Caenorhabditis elegans: one gene and its partner. The protein of the gene in region 2 purifies or fractionates together with the protein of the main gene of each other region. This does not show direct contact. Each region holds a gene or a part of one and is shown on either strand. Other genes may lie near its edges. The genes, in order: R07B7.6 and nfx-1.

The links.
Region 1: the proteins of nfx-1 (region 2) and R07B7.6 fractionate together in Caenorhabditis elegans (co-fractionation; one large-scale study listed by BioGRID). This does not show direct contact.

Annotation. Positions count from the first base shown.
Region 1 is NC_003283.11:12,072,124-12,076,880, reverse strand, and holds R07B7.6 (Nucleotid_trans domain-containing protein), read left to right. Parts: upstream 1-1,894; 5' UTR 1,895-1,896; coding exon 1,897-1,956; intron 1,957-2,007; coding exon 2,008-2,109; intron 2,110-2,159; coding exon 2,160-2,272; intron 2,273-2,354; coding exon 2,355-2,820; intron 2,821-2,866; coding exon 2,867-3,020; intron 3,021-3,190; coding exon 3,191-3,446; intron 3,447-3,491; coding exon 3,492-3,622; intron 3,623-3,669; coding exon 3,670-3,785; intron 3,786-3,833; coding exon 3,834-3,893; 3' UTR 3,894-4,019; downstream 4,020-4,757.
Region 2 is NC_003281.10:6,373,260-6,379,806, reverse strand, and holds nfx-1 (Transcriptional repressor NF-X1 homolog), read right to left. Parts: upstream 4,429-6,547; 5' UTR 4,417-4,428; coding exon 4,203-4,416; intron 4,147-4,202; coding exon 3,245-4,146; intron 3,195-3,244; coding exon 2,663-3,194; intron 2,616-2,662; coding exon 1,606-2,615; intron 1,556-1,605; coding exon 1,205-1,555; intron 1,149-1,204; coding exon 798-1,148; 3' UTR 640-797; downstream 1-639. Other genes in the region: C16A3.6 (Protein MAK16 homolog), read right to left, coding at 1-345; rps-13 (Small ribosomal subunit protein uS15), read left to right, coding at 4,826-4,954, 5,127-5,231, 5,454-5,675; thoc-2 (THO complex subunit 2), read right to left, coding at 6,035-6,256, 6,323-6,547. UniProt on the Caenorhabditis elegans protein: May play a role in transcription regulation.

The DNA of each region.
Region 1 (4,757 bases), on a different chromosome or scaffold from region 2:
CAATCTATGGAGAACATTGTAAACTCGGCAAACATTTCGTGTATTGTGAAGAAATGTTTCGGAGGTTTTTCGTTTCTTTTGTATATATTCTTATATTCATTTTATTTTCATAAAATTTTCTACACTTGAAAAATGTGACATATCTCTATGGTTTCTCTTCGTGGAGTCTGCCGAGTCGATTTTTTTTTTGTTTTTCGTTGAATTTCCATAGCTCGCGTTTTCCCCGGCAAGTCTTCGTTTGTTCATCATAGAACTACATCACTTTTCCATGAGTCGTCTTGATCTAGTTCGTTTTGGTTATTTGAGAGCATAGAAACAACTGAAAACTAGTTAATTGTGTAGTTGCTCTCTCTCATACTCTTTTCATATCTCTCCCGTCGCCTAGCTACTAACTCTTTTGCTCATATGCTTCTATCATTGAGAACAACGGAAATGAAAAGGGTCTTTGTTGTGAAAAGGTAAGGTTGAGTGCATTGATAACGCCTAGTGTACACTTTTAGAAATATTTTCTATTTCTGCTGCGATGTAATGTTTGATATGCAATCAAATTTCTGAATTTAAATACTTCAGTATTGATGGAACTAGAGAGAATGTTTTCCGATATTTTTTTGCATTTCGAGAGGTGCACATAATTTGTTAGTTCATTATTAGAAACTTCTCGTGATTTTATTTATGTTGAAATGAATTCACGACACACCTTTTCATTCGCTTATCACTAAAAAATCAAAAGTTTCTTCCTCGTCACTATTGAAAATGCACTCTCCTTTTATTCTTTGCACGAATGTTTCCCGAAGTGTCTTCTTATGACTTTTCCCAAATTTTATGAAGAATTAAATTCCGATAACTAACATTTTGTTCTGACTCCGTTTCTCTTTTGTGTAGAATCTTGTTTTTAGCAGTTTTATTAGATTTAACTCATTCAGAATCAAGCATTACTTTTTAAAAAATCTTTTTTCAAAAGCTTACCTAAAGAGGTTTTAAACAGTAAGAGAAAATACAATAATTGTTGCTTTCCTAACCTTCAAAGCACTCAAATATGCATGAATAACTGACATATCCACTCTTTATTTCGTAACTTTAGAAATGACTATAGTCATCACAGAAATAAGGAAAATAAACATTTTACCGGTAGCGGGATAATTTAATATTTATTTAATTTTTTACATTAGTATCTGGTTTTTTATCACAAAATAATTTGTAAATTTGTTACATATTAAATTTAATCTTGAAAAAACACTTGAAATCGAGAAAATTCCATTTTGGCAAATCGCCATAACTACAAATCCAAATTAATTTAAACTAGAAATATTTACTTCAATTTCAAAAGATGTACCACTCACACGTCAATGATATCAATTTCCGGGAACTTGGATGTTTCAGTTGGTTTTTTCTCTTTTATTAACATTTGATGGATTTCAGTTTTGCTTTTACATCTATGTACATGTTTCTGTTTCGTTTTGTGTTTCTAAGCTTTTCGCGGCTGAGTTCGTTTTTTTATTACCGTCTTGCAGGACGGTGACCGTTAGATATTGAAGAGAGAAGCTGAGTACAATAGTATTTCGGAACAAAAGTTTGTTGCAAATAATAATAGTTTAATATGAGTTTCAACTATTCCAAGCGGTTGTGAAACATAATAAGTTTAAGCTGTTGACGTATTTTTGTTGCGAGGGACTAATTATTTGTTTCCAATCTAACTGTCAACGTCAAGGGGATGAAAAAAACAATTTTTTAAAATTAATATCCTAAAAATGTTTGGAAAGGGGAAAAACAAGAGCTTGAAGACTTAAAAATATATTCTATCATTTTTTCCCCGAGTTTTTATTCACAATCATGTCTCTTGATAACACTCCAGTTTTACTGTCATATCCTTCTCAAACAATTTTGAAACTTTCAGAAATGTCAGCCACAAGATACAAGAGATTAACTGACATTGATCTAGATGCGGATATTAATACCGTAAGCTAAACAGTTTTTATTTCAACTTTGGAGTGAAAAGTTTAATTATAGATTCCTGAATCTCGTTCTATTCAATCAACATTAATTGGTTTTATTCTGTTGTTTGGATTCGTAGCATGTATGATATTTCTCACAAGTGTTCAAGCTCATCCGGTATAAATTTTTAAACAAGGAATTCATGTTTTAAACCATATTAAATTAAGGCAAGAGTATCACTACAAGATAATGGAAAAAACAGTCCAATTCTAAGAACTCGGTCTCAAGAAAAACCGAGAAAGAGGAATATTACCAAATGGATGGACAATTATTTTACGGCGTGAGTGTTTATGTTTTTGAAATTTTAGAGAAGTCATGAATCATTACTTTCGAGACATTTTCAATTTCCAAATATTTTTCAGCGATGAAAGTCAATTTCTAAATTGCTCAGAAATGATAAAAAACAACAAAGACGTAATTGAGCTGTATGTGAATAATGGACGAATGAAACTTGACAACGAACGATTATTTGAATTACCAATGGATTGTCCTTCAATAAAAAATCGAATATATGGAGACATGCCATCATTTCGACCTCTCAAACGACCCATCGCTTTTGTACGAACTATTTATAAGATTTACGAACTTCAAGAGGCTTTACTATCTATATCATACCATCCAGACAATGTCTTCTGTTTTGTAATGGATTCAAAGAGTACTGATCGATTAAAAGAATCTGTTAGAATAATGAGTAGTTGTTTTACAAACGTTGTAGTACTTGGAAAAGAGTATAGTTTGAACAGTGGAGGTCATGGGCAAGATCCAGCACATTTTGATTGTCTCAAAACTATATTAGACAGAAAATGGGATCATGCTATTATTCTTCAGGTAAATTAATAATTAATATTTTTACTAAAACATCTTCCATTTTTAGAATTTCGACTTGATAATCAAAACGCCTTATCAACTATCAGATATTAGTGAATCCCTCAATTACACAAGTATCATGGGTTTTGATCATGGATTCTCCTACAGATACAATACAAAAGCAAAGTGGACTCCGGCTGGGATGAAGCTTTTTAAAATTGGTAAAGTGTTTCAATATTTCAAAACTGACATTTATATAATGTTTAAAAATATTCAAAACTTTAACAAAGCTCAATATTAAAATAAATTAAAGAGAAGATTTTCGTGAAAGAAGATGTTTTTCTGGAGAAACAATTTCAGTTTAAAAAAACACAAAGTTAGATTGTTTCAGAAACTGGAGTGCCAAATGAAATTCTTAATAGAAACCTAATTGTTCGGAAAAGCTTAAACGAAGTCATTGTCTCAAAAGTCTTTGTGAAATCAATGTTCGAAAAATTGAATATGGATATAATCATCAAACTATTTGATGATAACGATTACTATGGAGTTGACGAGATGCTTGTTCAAACACTTTATGAAAACTATCTTGGTTTGGAAGGACAAATGGAATCAAATTGTACTAGAAATCACAATGATATTCTGACAAGGTAACCGGTTTTTTTTTCTTTTGTGGAGTAACAGTTTCATTTCAGAATGACGCATTGGGATTTTAGTGGTCCTAATGGATTTGACAAGGAATGTCATTCGAAATGGAAACGGCATGGAATTTGCATTATGGGTGTTGAATACATGAATGAACTAATTAAAAGTCAACAAGTCATAGGTATATCTGAACATTTATGAAAAAATGTGCAAGTTTATCTTTTCCAGCAAACAAAGTTATGGCAACTTTCGATTTCGGAACTATTGCTTGCATGCGTGAGATGATAAAAAGAAATACTGCAGGGGAAACGCCAAATACCCAATGGTTAACTTCTTTTCCGCAGGTAAATCTTTGCTGGAAAAATGGAACAGGAAATAGGTGTTTCTTTCAGTTTCGAGAAATGCAACAAAAGGCAAACGGGACATACGACAGGAATAAGTTTGATTGTTAAAGTTGGATGATTTATGCGGGTTTCCAATGTTACGGGAAATTACTTCGTGTAATTTTTATTTAATTGTGTTCTAATTTATGTCATTTACAAGTATTATTTCTTTACATAAAATTGTTTGAAAGTCAATTTTTGTTTTGGAAGCTTGTTGATAAAAATATGGCTATATATCATACATATTTCCTTTGCTCTATAGTAGGCTGTCAAAAAAGTATTTTTCCTTTTTTGTTTTGTCATTGTGGGCTGCTCTGAAAGCAACTAAATTGGATTTAAATGTACTAAAAGCCAGTGTTGAATCGGATCCATTTAAAACTACCTGTGAGCTTGCAAGCACGTTTGGGATGCATCATAGCTCCATAGCAAATGGCTTTAAACTTCTTGGTATGAGGAAACTCCTTGGTCTTTTCGTACTTCATGATCTGACCCGTGTCACCCTTCACCGCTGGACCGGCACTGGAGATGAAACGTGGGTGCTCCACGATAATCACCACAGGCATGCCCAGTGGGTTGGAAAATGAGAAATTGCAAGTTATAATTCCCTAAATAATAATTAAAAGATGGCCGACTAGAAAATAGGATATCTATATAGATTTGCCGAGTAGGAACGTATGATTTCTGGTGAAGAGAAAATGGGGGGAATTGTGAACAATAGAATATCCAATGATTCAAACAATCGAATTTCACTACAATAATGAATCCTAGGTCCCTAGAAATCTCAGGTTCCTAGAAACCCTCAAAATTATTGTACGGCCTAATAGACCGAAGTTAGTTCTTTTCAGTCGGCCACCTGTCAGCATTGGCGTTGATTTACAACCTCTACCTTTACACGACTTACAACCTTTACAACCTCTTGTTGGCCAAATGTAG
Region 2 (6,547 bases):
AATTCGGATGAGACGAGCTTTGCACTTGTGTCTAACATATTCACTCCAATGAAGAAGTTGATCACTGATTTGTTCCAATGCTTTGTTCATATCCTTTGACAACTTTGTCTTTTCCCATAAACGACGTGGATAGTGAGATCGTTCGACAACTTTTGCGTACAAGTAACATACTCCGTTCTCCTCACGAACTGTTGCATACTGTGAGTTAGCCAATGGACACGAAGCTCTGTTGCACAAACCAGTCAAATTCATTTCATTTTTACAGAACATTTTTGGCTTTGTCCACGCTTTGTAGGCGCATTGTCCCTTGTTGAGAATGTTCCAAGTCACATCGTCGCACTGCATTTTTACCCAGTTTCTGAAAAATTCGAATTTTTTGAGTTGTTTTTCACACGAGAATTACTTCGATAAAAGGAAAAAGAAGCAAGAATTGATTGAGAAGAACGGGCAAAAAAATTGTGAAAGAACCGAAAGTGTGCGTCTTCGCGTGGCGGTGTTTGCACACTTTGTCAGTCCCGCGTGCCTTAAGGCGCCTTCTCTCTATTTTCATCTTTCAATTAAAATTTAAAGTCTCAAACAAATATTTTCACAGGAAATAACTGGGCCACAGGAACGCAATTAAAATAATATAAACACCAGAGAATATTTATTCATTAGTTAAAACAAGCAAACCGTATTTTAAAGTATTCAAAACAATGGAAATGTACTTGAAACAAACTGTTACACCGTACAATTGAGGATATGAATAGTAACATCGAAAATTGATGTGATAGTGCATGTAAAAAATCTAATACGTTTTATTCTAGTAATTCAGCAACCGGCTCCTCTTTCGCTGGAGATTCAATAGCTGAACTGGTTTCTGTTGCTGGTGCATCTTCGTCACATTGATCTTCCCATGTGGGACCTTCATCCAGTTTTTTCGCCGCCTCAATCTCATCTTCGGTCATATCGCGTTCGACTTCAACAACATACTCTTTTTGTTGCACTTTTTGCCACCCTTCTTCCTCGTCTTTCCACCAATCTTTTGGAGGTGAAGATACTAAATTACTTGTTGTCGGAACGTTACTTTCTTCATCGTCCGAATCGACATCGCTCCCCAAAAGAGCAAATTGGTTTTGTTGTTTCAATGGGATTGGGGCAGTTATTTCCTGGAAAATAAAAATATTGAAATCTGAACAATGCCAGACAAAAATTATATATTTACCTTCATTGGACGAGCTTCTCTCCGAACTACCATTTTTTCCGTACATCTTAATGGTTTCATGAGACCTTCTGTTTCTTCTTTTTTACTCAAAGCTTGATCCATTATATCTTTTCTAATAACAGCAGGTCCTGGCGTCTTTAGAGCTCCTTTGTAGTTTACAAGATCACTAATGAGAACGAGAGGCTGATGAGATTTTCCTCGTACTGCTGTGAGAACGATACTTCTTTTTGGTGGACTGTCTACACTTTCTGAGGCGATATTGAAAAAGTTGGCGTATTCATGCACGAATCTTCTCTTCTCAATACTCATTGCTGGCAGGTGAGCTCGAAAAGTGTCGTGGTAGGCTTCACCCTGTAAAAAACTATATGTATGCCCACAATTTTAAACAAATGGTAGCTTACACTTAGAATTTGAATAACCAGATCAATGAGAATCTTTTCAACAGATTTGACGAAATCAATGTTGGTTCTAACCATCTCTTTCAGATAACAAGGGAAGGAAATAGTTGGAGCGAGTTTGTTCATTCCATATTCATCTGTATCAACTTCAAGAGCTTCAGCAACTTTTCGATTTCTTTCCAATTTCTTGCATTCGTCATCACATTTCATGCAGTTAAGTTGAGAAAAACTTGTTGAGCGCTTGAGAATTCCTTCTTTGACCACTTTCTCTTCACCATCCGATTCAGATTTTTCTTCTTCTTCCTTTTCGAGTTTTGATAGAATCATTTTATCAACTTCACAGCATGGTGCGTCCTTTTTAATTCGTCCACATTCACAAGAAATTCTCACACTTGCTTTGCATGGGCTTGGCTCACACGGAGAATCTTCGTGACATGGAAGTGCGCAAGGATGTTCGCAAAGCTCTCGGATGGTTTCACATTTTTTCGTGCATTTCTCCCCTTCTTTCTCACATTCTTCACCGTGACATGTTCTTTGGCACACATGAACTCCACATTTGAGGGGTTTTTTGCAAACCACGCCACATGAAACTGAGTCGATATGACACGGTATATTTTTGCGAACTCTATGTCCACCATAACACATTTTTTCGGTGAGCTGTGTGCATGGAGGACAGTTTTGTTCACCATGGCACTTATGAGAGACAGAATGATCACAACTGTGTGGACGGACACATGGTTGGGAGCACACTGGTAGACGAGCTCCACATGGAATCGGAGGCATTCGAACTGTGTGACCACAATGACAAAATTGCTCATCAAAACTGGCTTGCAGACACGGACGGCATTGTCCAGCGTGACATACATTCTCACATGTGTGAATTCCGCAAGAAAGTCGTTTGTTGCACATTTGCAGACAAAAATGTTCATCTTGAATACAGCAAACTTCTTGGCATTTGTGCATTCCACATGACTTCTTTTTTCGACATCTTTTTGTGCAGAGATATTCACCAGCTGAAAATATATTGGTCATAGATCAAATGAAGACATTTGAAACTCACTGGTTTTCATTATTTGCAAATATTCGTCACATGGAATGACGCCTTTAGACGTTCCACAGCGACAAATTACGGATGTATTGAGATTGCATGGAGGGCAAGGACCTTCGTGGCACTTTTCTCGACAATGATGATTCTTTCCAGGAGTTCCACAAGTTAGCCATTTGTCACAAACTGAATCACAAGTTGGAACCATGTCTGTACATTTTTTCCTAGTGACTCCAAGTGATTGAAGTGTGTTCCTTCCACATGGACACGTTCGAATTCTATTGGCTCCTGTTTCACATTCTCCACACTCCTTGTCGTGACATTTCTTCGTACAATGATGAATTCCGCACGAAAACATTCCATCACACTCTGAGCCACATGAATATTTCTCGTGTGCACACGGATTGCAGGAAACTTCTTTTGGCGTTTTGCCACAAAAACAATCTTGTTCTAGAATTACAGTACACTCTCCACAATCACCGGAATGACAAATTCTTTCGCAATTGTGTTGGCCACATGAGAGTTGCTTTCCGCAGACTGTTTCACACTGAAAACATTGAATAAAACTAAAGATACAACTAGATTTCAAAATCTCACCATGACTTCTTGGTCAGATCCGCATCTCACACTTTTTTTCGTCTTTCCACAATTGCATGATTTTGTTGTAAAAAGCTTGCATTCAATGCATGGACCAGGATGACACAGTTCAGTACACGGATGAGGACATCCGAACTTTCTTGCACCACCGCATGTCTCTCCGCAACTATGTGGAACTTCTCCAACTCGGAAATTAGGATTTCTCATACGCCCACAGAAACAATAATAATTGTAAGGCATGGTTTCGTTTTCTGTCTGGCAGGTTGGACACCTCCAAGTGTTTGCACCTTCTTTATCTCTGCTTGATCTCGCCCAATCAGTAATACATCCAGTTGAAATGTGGAAAATATGATAACAGGTTTTACAGGACCAAACTCCTTGTCTGGTTGTGATTCGAGTGTAACAAATCGCACATTCATACTTATTATTTTCCAGAAGATATACCAGACCCTCTCTGAGTGGCTTATCCGCTAAAATTTTAGTTTCTTCTTCTGTCAGCGGTTCTTCTTTTTGTTCCCGTCGACGAGCTCCTTGGCCTCTTCGGCTGTTCCCAGGATTTCGAGATGGGTTTTGCACTGACTTGTTTTGTTGATTTGCAATCCTATCCACATTCAGTTGATTTCTATTGTTCTGTCTTGATTGATTTTGTGGATGAGAATCGCCTCTTTGTTCTTGTATTTCGAGCTGACGACGCTGTGTGTTCTGCTGACCACCACGTCTTCTTCTATTTTGCGATGGCTCCTGTTGTCTGGAATTTTGATTCGAATGTGTCGAGGCACCAATCGTCGGTGGAGGCACAGATGGATCGAAGAGAACCGACTGTGCTGGGTTGAATGTCGCAGCATTGGGGTTGAAGGTGAAATTAGCTTCTGGCTGCATTTGTAAACGGCTTGCAGAGGTAGCTGAAATTTAAACAATTAGTTTAAAGCTCTTTAAAGTTATTTTTGCCTTTAATTACCTTCTTTTTGTCCTCTGCCACGTTTGTTTCCACTACCACCACGATGTCCTCCTCTCGGGTTCATCAAAGGCGCCGCATCTAGGTTATCTGCGGTATTGGCTCCTACTTGTCGAGGAGCTTGACGGAAACGACCTCCTCTTCCTCGACTTGCTCGGTGACGGGAAGAATTTGTGGATGTTGGAATACTAGATGATGTTCCTTCAGTATCGGCCATAATTACTTTAGTCTGTAATTGAAACAGATAAATTATTGGAAAAATACTTTTCTTTTATATATTTGTGAAATTTTTTTATTTGAAAACGCGAAACATTGAGAAAAGCGATGCAATGTTGTGCAATAGTTCAGATGACATGACCGACCACAAACTACACATTTGAAGGGACATTGATTTTGCCCGCGTTGTCTCACCACGCGCGTTACACACGCAAAACGAGTGTTACCGTATACAACTTTTAGGACATTTTTCTTCGCTTGCTACATTTCCATTGCAATTCATTTTAGCCAATCATAGGGCACTTTTCTTACCTTTGTTCTTTCATTAATTTTGTTAATTTCTTTAATCTTTACATTTTTACAATAAACTCGACATTTTATCATCTTCTTTCAGGTAATCCGCATCAACCATGGGTCGCATGCACAATCCAGGAAAGGGAATGGCCAAGTCGGCCATCCCATACCGCCGCTCCGTTCCATCATGGCAAAAGATGACCGCCGAGGAGGTCCAAGACCAAATCGTCAAGATGGCCAAGAAGGTTTGCAATTGATCTGAGGAGTTACTTGGTGCGATTCCGATAACTACCATATGATCATCAACTGGGCTACCATTTTTCCAAGTTTGAAAATGGGCCCAGGAAATGTGAAAACCGAGTTTTCGGTGTCCATTTCCTTTTGAAATTTACGACAGGCAGAGATTTTGTATTTTAGGGTCTTCGTCCATCCCAAATCGGAGTTATCCTCAGGGATTCCCACGGAGTTGGACAAGTCCGCCGTCTTGCCGGAAACAAGATCTTCCGCATCCTCAAGTCCAAGGTAATAATGCAATTTTTATATCAGTATACGCTCTTCAAAAGCACTGGTTATCGGACTCAGACTTGTCCATGCCAGCCGTCAAAATGAGCAATATGAAATATCCTGTTTTTGGGTGAGGTGTAACTGTATTTAGATTAGATCTCAATAACACGATGACAGTTTTCGTAGAAACTAGTAAAATTCAATCAACGTCTTTTTCTAGTTTAATTATTGTTTTTTCAGGGAATGGCTCCAGAGCTCCCAGAGGATTTGTACCATCTCGTCAAGAAGGCCGTCGCCATTCGCAAGCATCTTGAGAGATCCCGCAAGGACATTGACAGCAAGTACAGACTTATCCTCGTCGAGTCCCGTATCCACCGTTTGGCTAGATACTACAAGACCAAGCGTCAGCTTCCACCAACCTGGAAGTACGAGTCTGGAACCGCTGCTTCTCTTGTTTCATAAGCATTGTTCTGACAATAAATCGTTGTTGTTTCAAATAATTCTTTTTTGTTTTACCAGTAAATTCAAGTAAAGGGCTGTTCCCATAGATTGGAAGTCGTTCGGAAATTTGACGTTGTCTTTTGCTCACATTTAGCACTTGATCTTCGACTTTTGGATTGACTCTTCGAGCAAGCATTCTATATTCGAAATACTTCCATTGCTTTCACATTCCAAGAAGTTCAACGATCCAATGTCTTTAGATTTAATGCTAACAAAAAATAAAACGAATATTTAATAATCCATCAGGATACAATAGAAAACCTCGTAGACAACATAAACTGAGATACAATAATGAAAATCTGGGGATATGTGGTGAGAGCTCATCTAAATGTTCGATGCCCACGATCTCTTCCACTCTTTCCAGCATCACGTGCAGGCTCTGCTATTCTTGATGCCTTTGGAAGTTCTTCTTTTTTTTCTTTTCGATCATCTTTGCGATCTTTTCGAGAGGACGATGTTGATTTTGAAGGCTCCTCTAGATCAAACTCAATCGCTTTTCGAGAGCCTTTCTTGTCATCTTTCTTGGGAACTGGGTCGGGAAGCTGAAATAAATCACATTTTCGAAAGGAAAATTTTGAAAATAGCTTGAGAAAACGTTAATATCTTACCGCGGGTCCTGCCACTTCAAGCTTCTCATCGGACGGCTTGCTTTTTTGCTTCTGATCTTTGAGAATCTTTTGTTCTTTCTGGTTTTCTCCATTTTCTCGCTTCCTTTCCTTATCCTTTTCTCGTTCCTTATTATCCTTCTCCAACCGTTTCTCTTTTCCTGTTTCTTTGTCTTTCGATCGTTCTCTTCTTTTCTTACCTTCTCCTTTTTCAGATTCTGTGTCCTT